3 linked regions of the Oryctolagus cuniculus genome follow. The protein of the gene in region 3 purifies or fractionates together with the protein of the main gene of each other region. This does not show direct contact. Links are inferred from orthologs where the notes say so. Each region holds a gene or a part of one and is shown on either strand. Other genes may lie near its edges.

Region 1 (3,775 bases), on a different chromosome or scaffold from region 3:
GACATGGAAGTTCATGGTCATGAAGCAGAAAGCTCATCTTCACTCCAGCCAAAGCCTGCACCAGGCTTAAAGTCTGGATCATGTGACTGATGCAGTTAGAACTGCAGGGACTTCCTTCTGAGAAAGGAAGAAACTCTTCCAGAGAGCACATAACTGCGAATCTCAAATCGACGCCCCTTCTCTGGGGCCAGTGTTGTGGTATAGTGGGTAAAGCCACCATCTGCAGTGCTGGCATCGCACATGGGTGCTGATTTGTGTCCTAGCTGCTTCATTTCCAATCCAGCTCCCTGCTAATCCACCTGGGAAAGCAGCAGCAATAGCCCAAGTGCTCGGGCCCACTGCACCCACATGGGAGCCCCAGATGAAGCTCCTGGGTCCTGGCTCCTGGCTTCAGTACGGCCCAGCCCTGGATGTTCTAGCCATTTGGGGAGTGAACCAGCAGATGGAAGATCTCTCTCTCTCTCTTTCTAACTCTGCCTTCCAAATAAATAAATAAAACTTAAAAGAAAAAAAAGAGGCATGAAGAAACACGACAATGGGGAAGAGGGGATTATCACAAAGGACATTGTTGGGGAACAGACAAAAATTAAAAGTAAACTCACACTATGTTATTCTAGAATCCCCATCCCCTGAAGTGGATTATTGCACTGCAGTGACCTAAAAGAGCGTCTTCATTCTCAGGAAATGCAGGCAAGGGGCCAGGCGGTCCACGACTCAATGCCAAATGATGGGGGGGGGGGCAGTAAGGGAAGAATTAATAATGTTGCAAAAGTGTTAACAATTTGATGAAGGGCTCAAAGAAATTCTTTGTACTATTTTTTTTTTTTTAAGATTTATTCATTTGTTTACTTTGAAAGGCAGAGTTATACGGAGAGGGGGAAACAGAGAGAGAGAGAGAGAGAGAGAAAGAGAGAGAGAGAGAGAGAGAGAGAGGAAGAGATAGCTTCCATTTGCTGGTTCACTCCCCAAATGGCCACAATAGCTGGGGCTGGGCCAGGCCAAAGCCAGGAAGTGGGAGCTTCTTCTGGGTCTCCCGCATGGGTAGCAGGGACCCAAGCACTTGGACCATCTTCCACTGCTTTCCCAGGCGCATTAGCAGGAAGCTGGGTCAGAAGTGGAGCTGTCAAAACTCAAAGCAGTACTCATATGGGAAGCACACATGCCAGGTGACAGCCACACCAGCTGAGCCACACAAGCCCCAGAACTTTTTTTTTTAAGATTTAATTATTTGAGAGAGAGAGAGAGAGTCCACCTGCTAGTTCACTTCTCAAATGGCCTCAACAGCCACATCTAAGCCAGGCTGAAGTCAGGAGCCAGGAATGCCATCTGGGTGGCAGGGCCTAAGTACACTATTGCTTTCCCATGGGTATTAGCAAGGAAAGGGATCAGAAGCAGAGCAGCCAGTACCATAATATGGACTGCCTGCATCACAAGCAGTGGCTTAACCTACTGCACCACAATTCTGGCCCCTCTTTGTATTATTCTTACGTTTCAAATTAAAATGTTAAAAAAAAAAAAAAAAAGAATGTTGGGCCAGAGTTGTGGCACTGGGCTAAGCCACCACCTGTGATGCCAGCATCTCACATAGGCATGAGTTCAAGTCCCAGCTGCTCCTTCTGATTCAGCTCCCTGCTATTGTGCCTGGGAAAGCAGTGGAGGGGAGGTCCAAATACTTGGGCCTCTGCCACTCATGTGGGAGACCCGGATAAAGCTCTTGGCTCCTGGTTTCAGTCTGGCCCAGCTTTAGCTATTCAGACCATTTGAGGAGTGAACCAGTGCATGAAGATTTTCTCCTCTCTCTTTCTCTCTCTCACTTTGTCTTCCAAATAAATAAAAATCAATCTTAAAAAAAAAGTCACCTTACAGCCTCGCCTCTCACCCCATCTGACACTCAGCATACTGATGGCATGACTACAACCAATGTAAAAAAATTTCCCCCACCTGCAAGCTTGCAAGCCAGGCACTTGCATGAGCACCAGATAACCAACAGAGCAGAAACCCCACCAGCATCCGCCTCTAGCAAGCCGCACTGCAGCAGTGGGGTCGAAGCCTGGCCTCGCGGCAGTCACCTGGACGCCTTGAGCAGGAGGAAACCACAAACCATGAGCCCTGAGATGTAGCAAGAGCCTGCAAGTGAGGCTGTCTGTAGCCCCGCCTCACGGGCAGTTCTGGCTGTGGCCAGGGTGAGGAGCTCTGCAGCACACGGCGTACGGCTGAGTCCCTGCTTTGGTTAGGAAGGCGGGTTTGAGTCCAAGATGACAGCAGTGGAAAGTCCTCTACCGGTGGACTTGGCCCTTACACACCTGTGCAGGGTCACGGTGGCTCAGCCTTTCAGGAACTGGATTAAGCAGGCATCCAGTGCTCCCATGAGAAGCTCCAGACCTCTTGCCAGCTTCCCATCCCAGATTTGGGGACTTGTGCCCTAGCTTGGCAGTCCTAGGATAGGGAGAGCGAAGCATCTTCCAGAAGCGCCTTGCTGTCCAGCCTCTGAAGCGGACAGTGGCTCAGCTGGGGGAGGCAGTACCTCCGCTGGGCTTGAATAGCCTATTGGCTTGCTATTCAAGGCCACCAGCAGAGGGCACTGCACACCCAGCCAATGGACGCAGCTGCCCATCAGCGCTAGGACGCGGAAACAGGTGGAAATGCTGACTCACCCAGCTGAAACCGGCTGGAGAGGCTGCATGGCACCTCTGCCATGTCACGATCCAGTTACTTCTCTGTATTCCCACTGGACTGCGAGCCGTCTGCAGGATCTCATGCAGTACCTGACACACAGTAGGGCTCGGTACATGCTAGCTACAGTTGCTGTGTTTGGCACCTGCACCCCAGGCCAGTGCATCTCATTTCTTTTTACAGAACACCCCTCCTGCATGGAGATCCCTGCACACTGGGTCCCAAGCGTCCTCCAGCTGCGTCCTCCCTAGCTCTTCCCCCTGCCACACAACACCTGTCTCCCTGCAGGCTGGGCCTCAGGCCCCTGAGCAGCCCCAGGCCAAGCCTGCCAAGCCCTGGGTGGACACCAGGTAGGGGACTCACGCTCCAGCTGGCACCAGCGGCTGGAACTTCCACTGCTCCTCCTCGCAGTCCAGGAAAAGGCGGTTCATGATCTTGTTCTTCTCCTCGGGGGGGATGAAATTCTCGATGATCAGGTACCTGCAGGCGGGACAGAGGTGGGGATGCAGACGGCAGTGCAAGGCTGCCTAGGGCCTGGGGGCTGAAGGGTCAGAGCAAGGAGCGGAGAAGGTGGGAAACCAAAAGAGCTGGGGGAAGGGGTCCTTAACGTCTTAAAAAACACACTGAATGCAAAGGTTGAAGGTGTGGGGCCAGCACCCAGCATGCACTGGGGCTCAACAGATGCAGACAGCAGAGATGGCGGAAGCTGCAGAGGTGGGCCTGTCCCTGTCTCTCAGGCACACCTCACTCCTTCCACATGGACCTGGGCGTGAGGGCACCGTCAGAAGGGGGCCTCTGGGAAAAAGAAGCATCTGGCAGGGGACCCAGAGCAGTGGGGAGCAGCGGGGGCCCCTACTTGAGCTTCAGTTCCCGGGTCTGCTCGTTCTGCGCCTCCTCCAGGTCCTGCCGCACGCGGATGTACTCGTCGTGCTGGTCCTGGATCTCCGCCTTCACCGCCTGCAGCTTGGCGTAGAGCTGGGTGGGGACACAGGCAGCTCAGAGGCTGCTCGGGGCTGCAAAGGGGCTCCGGTCCACAGGCTGGGCCCTGAGGACGCTGGGGAGCCCGGCCCGAGCTGCCCGCTGCTGCCCCACCCACTGGGAA
Region 2 (3,775 bases), on a different chromosome or scaffold from region 3:
AGTAAGCTAAGGACCTTTCCCAAGTCCCTGCTTATCTCTTTACCCAGCATGCCAGGCCAAACAAGTGTTACCTTGTGTGTCAGTCTGGGTCCACTGGGAAGGCCAGGAGAGTGGACAGCAATGCTCTGTGTCTGCTGTCTGGATGATGAGACCCCTCCCAGCTTACTAATGCATGATGCTCACGTGGGAGTCAGAAAACAACTCCTGCAGATGGTAGAAGCAGCTCCTGGCCCACTGTGTCGGCCCTCAGCCCAGGGAGTTGCTTGCTTCACTTTCTCCCTGGCTAAGTCTTCTGAGAGCTTGATCCACAGACTGGTTGGGGGCTCCTAGCCACACTCCCACCAGGCCCCTCACCACTGCACCCTGTCCCCAGGAATCAGCAGATGATGAAGCGGCCGGTCTCCGCCGTGGGATACAAGAGGCCATTGAGCCAGCACGCGAGAATGTCCATGATGATCCGTCCGGAGGCCCGATACCGGGTGAGAAGGTTGTCCTTGGCTTTCGTCCTCTCAGAGGGATTCAGACTTGTGTGGGCCCTCAGGCAGCATTTTACTGAGCCATAGAGTGGGAACCCTGCAGAGATACTTAAGGCCTTTATGATAATTACAACCAATGATAGGTAAAGCCGCCGCCTGCAGTGCCGGCATGCCGTATGGGCGCCAGTTTGAGTCCTGGCTGCTCCACTTCTGATCCAGCTCTCTGCTATGGCCTGCGAAGGCAGTACAAGATGGCCCAAGTGCTCGGGCCTCTGGACCCCCATGAGAGACCCAGAAGAAGCTCCTTGCTCTTGGCTTCGGATTGGCTCAGCTCTGGGCGTTACAGCCATCTGGGGAGTGAACCATTGGATGGAAGACCTCTCTCTGTCTCTGCCGCTCCTCTCCTCTCTCTGTGTAACTCTGACCTTCAAATAAATAAATAAATCCTTAAAAAAAAAAGAACCAATGATAAGTATATAACAATAATAATAAATAAAAAGGTAAAATAGAATGAGATTTGGAAAACTGGAACCAGGGAAGGAGGAGCGTACAAATGCTGTTGTTAGTGGCCGTAGCTGTTAACAGTGAGCTTCCGAGTGGCTCCGTGGGAGGAACCTTGATGTCTAGCAACAGGAGATGGACCTGTGCTGAAGAACTTTAGCTATTTCCATGCAACATTACATGTGTCCATCGTGTGGTCACTTAAGATGACACAACAGGACTATTTAACGACCTAAAATATTTTACAATAAAAATGCCATGGGAGAGGCAGGCGCTGGCGTAGCAGTTACGAACCCCTCTGGAGACACCTGCATGCCGTGTGGGAGGCCTTTGGTTTGCGTTCCAGCTCTGCTTCTAATTCCAGCTTCCTGCTAGTGCACTCTCTGGCAGGCAGCAGGTGGCTCAAGCGCTTGGGTCCCTGCCGTCCACGTGGGAGACCTGGATTGAGTCCTGGCTGCCAGCTGCAGCCTGATGTGGGCAGTTGAGGAGTGAAGCAGCAGATAGGAGCGCTCCCTGCATCTCGCTCTTTGTCTCTGCCTCTCAAATAATTATTTTAAAATGCCATAGAAGCTTCTGGCTATAAACACTCACTGTGTGCTAGACTGTACCCAGTGTGGACTGCTCTCTTCCATCTCCTCTGGGCAGTCAGTTCTGTTGCTCTCAGCTCCAGAAGCTGTAAATGGATGAACTCGGGGACACAACCTATAGTTAAGTTGCAAACCAAGTTGAATTGGAAGTGTATATGTGAATTATAAAGTTTGGTATAAAGTGCATCAAAGTGTGAACTGGTTAGTTCTGGTTGGTGGAAGTATATTCAATTTAACTTTTCTTCTTTTTCAAAATTTATTTTTATTTATTTGAAAGGCAGAAAGAACGAGGGAGACAGAAAACTCCTATTTGCTGGTTTACTCTCTAAATGCCAAGGCCAAAGCAGGACCCTCAAACTCAATCCAGGTCTCCCGGTTGGGTGACAGGTCCCCAGCTGCTTGGGCCATCACTTGTTGCCTTTCAGGTGTGCACCTGCAGGAAGCTGAAATCAGAAGCGGAGCTGGGACTCTGCCGTGGACATTCTGGTATGGGATATGTGATCCCAGCAGTAATGTTCACTGCTGCGCCCAAAAGTTGCCCCCTGAGTTTTCCTCTTTTTGTTTCTCTGTATTTTAAAACCATCAACAGGGATCTTGTATTATTTTTATAATGGAAGATTTTCACATAAATTTTTTAAAAATATTTTTTATTTGAAAGACAGAGTTACAGAGAGAGGTAGAGAGAGAGAGAGGTCTTCCATTGGCTGGTTCACTCCCCAGATGGCTGCAACGGCCAGAGCTGCGCCGATCCGAAGCCAGGAACCAGGAGCTTCCTCCGGATCTCCCATGTGGGTGCAGGGGCCCAAGGACTTGGGCCATCTTCTACTGCTTTCCCAGGCCACAGCAGAGAGCTGGATCAGAAGTGGAGCAGCCAGGACTCAAACCGGCGCCCATATGGGATGCCAGTGCCTCAGGCCAGGGCATTAACCCGCTGTGCCACAGCACCGGCCCCTAACATAAAATTTTAAAAATGTTTTTTAATCTCCTTTGGTGGCCAGAGCAAAACACATTAGTTAATTTCTCAGGTGCCATTCTTCCAGGCCCCAAGTTATTTAAAAGAAAGCAAAAACAAAAAAAGATTTATTAGGTGGGGTATGTATTGTAGAAGACTAGGTAGGTGTCGGAATGCTCAGAGGCGTTTTTCTAGCAGTTTCACATGGGCGTATCTTGCCAGTCATTTCATGGCTGCAGCCAGAAACGTGACTTTGAAGCCCACAAGTCCAGTCCTATGTGGCTTTCTGGGACTGACCTAATCCAGAGGTGGACTTTCTTTATTTTTTTAAAAGATTTATTTATTTATTTATTTGAAAGGCAGAGAGAGAGAGATTTTCTATCCGCTGGTTCATTCCCCAGATGGCTGCAATGGCCAGAGCTTCACCGATCCGAAGCCAGGAGCCAGGAGCTTCTTTTGGGTCTCCCATGTGGTGCAGGGGCCCAAGGGTGGCCATCTTTTACTGCTTTTCCAGGCCACAGCAAAGAGCTGGATCGGAAGTGGAGCAGCCAGGACTCGAACTGGCGCCCCTATGGGATGCCGGCGCTGCAGGCGGCAGCTTTACCTGCTGCGCTATAGCGCCGGCCCTCAAAGGTGGACTTTAAAGCTGTGACTGTCAGGTGTTCTCAGAGTGGACCTGCTTCATCAGGGAGGGTTTTATGCATGGGCTTAGCATCTAAAACTGATCAGTGGAGTCACTGCCTCTGCCCACCTTTCTCCTGCAGCGGCCCCTCCCGCCCCTGTGGAGCCCCGGGGCCAGGCCCCACTGAGAAAAGCCAGAGGAGAAGGTCGCATGCGTAGTCATGGGTGCTCTTCCCTCAGTATGCTTGTCTCAGTGTCCAGGAAAGGCTCACCACAGGATGTCTCCACAGCCAAGCCTGAGGCAGGGCCAATCTGATTTTAGTACTTATTGTAACATTTTTTATTCATTTATTTGAAAGTCAGAGAGCAGACAGTGATCTCCTGTCTGCTGGTTCACTCCGCAGATGTCCACGACAGCTAGGGCTGAGCCACGGCTAAAGCCAGGAGCCAGGACTCAGTCCTGTGGGTGGGAAGGACTGAAGTCCTGAGCCCCTGCCTGCTGCCTCCCTGGTGTGCACTGGCCGGAAGCTAGAACTGGGAGTGGGGCCAGGACTCTGACCTGGGTCTCTGATGTGGGATGCAGGTGTCCCAGGTGGCATCTTAGCGTCTACGCAAAATGCCACCCCTGTTGCTTATTT
Region 3 (3,775 bases):
GGATTGTTTATTATTATTTTTAATGCTCTAGCTTAAGTATAAAATACATTCATTTGTGCCTCAGCATTCCTCATATAGGCTTTAAAATAAATTTCACTTTTTTTTTCTGTTCTACTTTCTGTATAATTACCACCAGAGCAACTGAATCTGAAAGTGTCAATATTTTGTCTTGTCTTTACTGAAGAAAAGAATTGTAGATATAGTCAAGAAAATTCGTGGCACTATGAATTTTCATATCCAAAAATGACAGAAGACTATATATTTTATCAGAAATATTTCCTTAAAACAAGACCTTTATATATGCTGTACTACCTGGAGAGTCAGAAAAAAATTTTATGTTCCTTGTCTTATTTTTTTTTTGTCCAGCTCTAAGAAAATCATTGCTTTTTATTTTCTAAGCCTAACTATATCTAATAGTTTATTATATTTTAGTAAGTCTATGGCCAGCTACAGGTAGACTCTATAATAATTTATAATCTCTAAATAATTTTAAAGTAGTATTATTGAAGCTATCACCTACTTTTATAATACTGAGTTGGAAAACTCTGATATACTTGCAGCATACGTCTAAAGAGTCTCAATGCCAACACAGATATAACTTCCCTGGCACGGAAAGTAGTTGAAGAATGTAAGCTCATTCATCCTTCAAAACTCAATGAGGTAGAACAGCTGTTGTACTATCTACAGAACCGCCGAGACTCATTGTCAGGAAAAGGTAAGAAGAAGAATTCTTACTTTAATGCAAAACCAGAGTAGTTGACTAGAGTTTGTACTTTTGACACTTTTGAAAGTTAGGTAGGATATTTCTTTTACCAATGTTGTGAGTAAGTGAGCAAATGAAATAATAAGCAAAAATATTTGTTTCCAATATGCCAGCCTTTACATTAGATGCTTCCACATAAAATGCTCTAATTTTGTTTTACTTTATATCTGTACATTTAACTGAAATATTAATAAAAAACAAATGTCTGTTTTACTGATTCTAGAATAATTGAAGTAGACAGTGAAGAAAGTGAGAAAAGTGAAGAAGTGAGAAAATTTGGAATCGACAAACCTGTTTCCTTGATCCATCTAAACTTTTGTGTTCAAAATTTTTAAATTACATTTGATTTATAGTTCCAATGGATTAAGTATTTAAAAGTTAAAAATATAAAGATAGAATTTATATGAATATTTCTTAGGAAAATAGCACATTTTCATTCTTCAGTATGTCTATTGCCATTCACCTATCCTGAATTCCTTTAAAGATCCAATCTATTAAGATGATAGAGCTGAGATAATTATTTAGAGAAGACATTGTCAAATAATCTAAATGAAAAAACAAAACCACTTTAATGAAAAGTTGTTCCACATTATCAAATGCCCAGTTATTCCATTTTATAATATTTGCTAAACGTACATATCTTTCAACATTGATGAATTCTGAAATACCGTGCTCTTCAAATATCACGCCATTGCTCAGATTTTGATTGTGGTAAGTAGAGGGGAAATGAAAGGAGATTTTGTTTGGATTTTCTTTTAAAGATTTATTTATTTGAAAGTCAGAGTTACAGAGAGAGACAGACAGATCTTTCATTCACTGGTTCACTCTTCAAATGGCTGCAACATCCACAGCTGGGCCAACCTGCAACCAGGAGCCATCAGTCTTATCTGGGTCTCACACATGGGTAACAAGGGACCAAATGCTCGAGTCATCTTCCCCTGCTCTTTCCAGGCCATCAGCAGGAAGATGAATGGAAAATGGAACAGCCAGGACATAAACTGGCGTCCATATGGGATACAGGTGTCACAGGTGGCATCCTTATCTGCTATGGCACAAGGCCAGCAACTTGGACTTTTGTCAAATTAATCAAGCCCTCTCTTCTTTTACAGAAAATAAATAATTTGTGCATGATATGTATGTAAATTTAGTCCCTAATATAATACTTAATACTTATTGTATGTATTAGTCTCCAATATAATACTTAATACATATCATCATTTTATTAGTCCCCAATATAATGCTTAATACATATCATATTATCATTGTATATGTGTTGAATAAGTTGAATGGCTGTAAATTTATTTAAAAGCAAAATTAGTCATTTTGAACTTGATTCCTTCTACTCACTTAGCTTACACTTCATTTATACTTGTTAATTGTTGATAGTAAGTGCTACCTAGGTCAGGAAATGTAAAGGAATATTTTTTATAAGCAAATATTTTGTGATATTTTGAAATGAAAATGAATGATGAATGATAGTGTCTTCAAATAAATTTAAAGTGAGTAAAGTAAACACAATAGTCCTTAAACTTTGTATATACTTATGTCGCATAATGTACTCAATTGTGACATTTCCTAGTGCCATTTTAATGTAATTATGAAGGCATTTATAGAGAAATATGAATTTCTTTAAACTAGTGAAAACCCTTTCATTCAATTTTCAGAGCAAACAAAAGTTATGTTAGAAAATGAAATTATGCTATTAACCAATTAATTCAATATAATTTAATGACAGCATGTTCGATGCCTTTGGATGTGACTATATTTATTTAGAAATAAATGAGGATTAAATTAGCACATATAGATTTTTGGGTCAGCATTATAGCATAGTAAGTAAAACCTCCGTATGCAATGCCAACACCATTATGGGCACCAATTTATGTCCTGGCTGCTCCACTTCTGATCCAGCTCCCTGCCAATGGTCTGGGAAAGCGGTGGAAGATGGCCTAAGCATTTGAACCTCTCATCCATGTAGGAGGCCCAGATGAAACTCCTGGCTCCTGGCTTTGGCCTGGCACAGCTCTGGCCATTGCAGCTATCTGGGAAGTGACCAAGCAAATGGAAATCTCTGTCTTAATGTAATTCTGACTTTCAAAATAAATAAAATAAACCTTTAAAAATTAGGTTATAAATTTATCAATCAATTATTTTTCAATTTTCACTTTAGTTTTTATTTTACTCAGGTCATATCATTTTCTTTTCTTTATTAATTTTCCTTTCCCAACTTGAACTTGAATTAAGAAGAAAAAAAAGGGATACTTAAAATTGACTCTTTTGCCTTCTGTTGGCAAGTCTTATTGTGTACTCCAAAAGTTAACCAAGGAGGAAGTTAAAATTTCTAACATAAATTGAATATTAGTTATTGATTTTATTCTCATTAGAAAAGATGGGTTATAGATGAGCATTTTTCATACATGAAAACAGATTTCATAAAATATTTTTAATATTCCAAGCTTAGCTAGAGTAAAACTGAGGTGGGTAATAATTACCCCAAAACCTTGAAAACCTAATTCTCTTGATTAAAAAATATCTTCTTACAGAAAAAAAAGAAAAATCAAGCAAGCCTAAAGATCCACCTCCTTTTGAAGGAATGGAGGTAAGACTGTATGTATTCTGATCTAATAGAGTACTGATTATGAAATTGCCTTTTACAAAAAATAATGCATTCAATCACATTAGTCAGAAGTGGAATTTTAACTTGTTGAAGTTAGAAGACCTGAAAAAGGTAGAAGTCAGTATTTTACTGATAAGCACAAAAGTTAGTGGTTGTACTTTGAAGCATAATTGAATGTTACAATATATTTTGAAATATTGTTAAATATATTGTAATAGATTCAAGTTACTTTGAATTATATGTGAGATACTTTATATTGATAAACAAATTTTAGAGTTTACATATGCTCTATCGTATTATATGGTTTATACTTTTGAATTAGAGTCTTTATACCCTAAAAGCTAATATTCTCCTTTATAAAAAGATAACTGCTGTAGGTTCTTTGCAAATTTGTCTGT

What was found. The genes of interacting proteins can lie anywhere in the genome.
Region 1: the proteins of KIFAP3 (region 3) and KIF3C purify together in Homo sapiens (co-immunoprecipitation; 3 studies listed by BioGRID and IntAct, counting the BioPlex papers as one, with this or other methods). This does not show direct contact. The link is inferred for Oryctolagus cuniculus from reciprocal best matches to the Homo sapiens genes KIFAP3 and KIF3C.
Region 2: the proteins of KIFAP3 (region 3) and KIF3B purify together in Homo sapiens (co-immunoprecipitation; 7 studies listed by BioGRID and IntAct, counting the BioPlex papers as one, with this or other methods). This does not show direct contact. The link is inferred for Oryctolagus cuniculus from reciprocal best matches to the Homo sapiens genes KIFAP3 and KIF3B.

Annotation. Positions count from the first base shown.
Region 1 is NC_091433.1:176,830,433-176,834,207, reverse strand, and holds part of KIF3C (kinesin-like protein KIF3C), read right to left. Parts: intron 3,649-3,775; coding exon 3,530-3,648; intron 3,154-3,529; coding exon 3,037-3,153; intron 2,766-3,036; coding exon of another isoform or gene 2,699-2,765; exon of another isoform or gene 1-2,698.
Region 2 is NC_091442.1:25,496,037-25,499,811, reverse strand, and holds part of KIF3B (kinesin-like protein KIF3B), read left to right. Parts: intron 1-373; coding exon 374-479; intron 480-3,775. UniProt on the Homo sapiens protein: Microtubule-based molecular motor that transport intracellular cargos, such as vesicles, organelles and protein complexes. Uses ATP hydrolysis to generate force to bind and move along the microtubule. Plays a role in cilia formation.
Region 3 is NC_091438.1:27,937,733-27,941,507, reverse strand, and holds part of KIFAP3 (kinesin-associated protein 3), read left to right. Parts: intron 1-560; coding exon 561-715; intron 716-3,303; coding exon 3,304-3,359; intron 3,360-3,775. UniProt on the Homo sapiens protein: Involved in tethering the chromosomes to the spindle pole and in chromosome movement. Binds to the tail domain of the KIF3A/KIF3B heterodimer to form a heterotrimeric KIF3 complex and may regulate the membrane binding of this complex.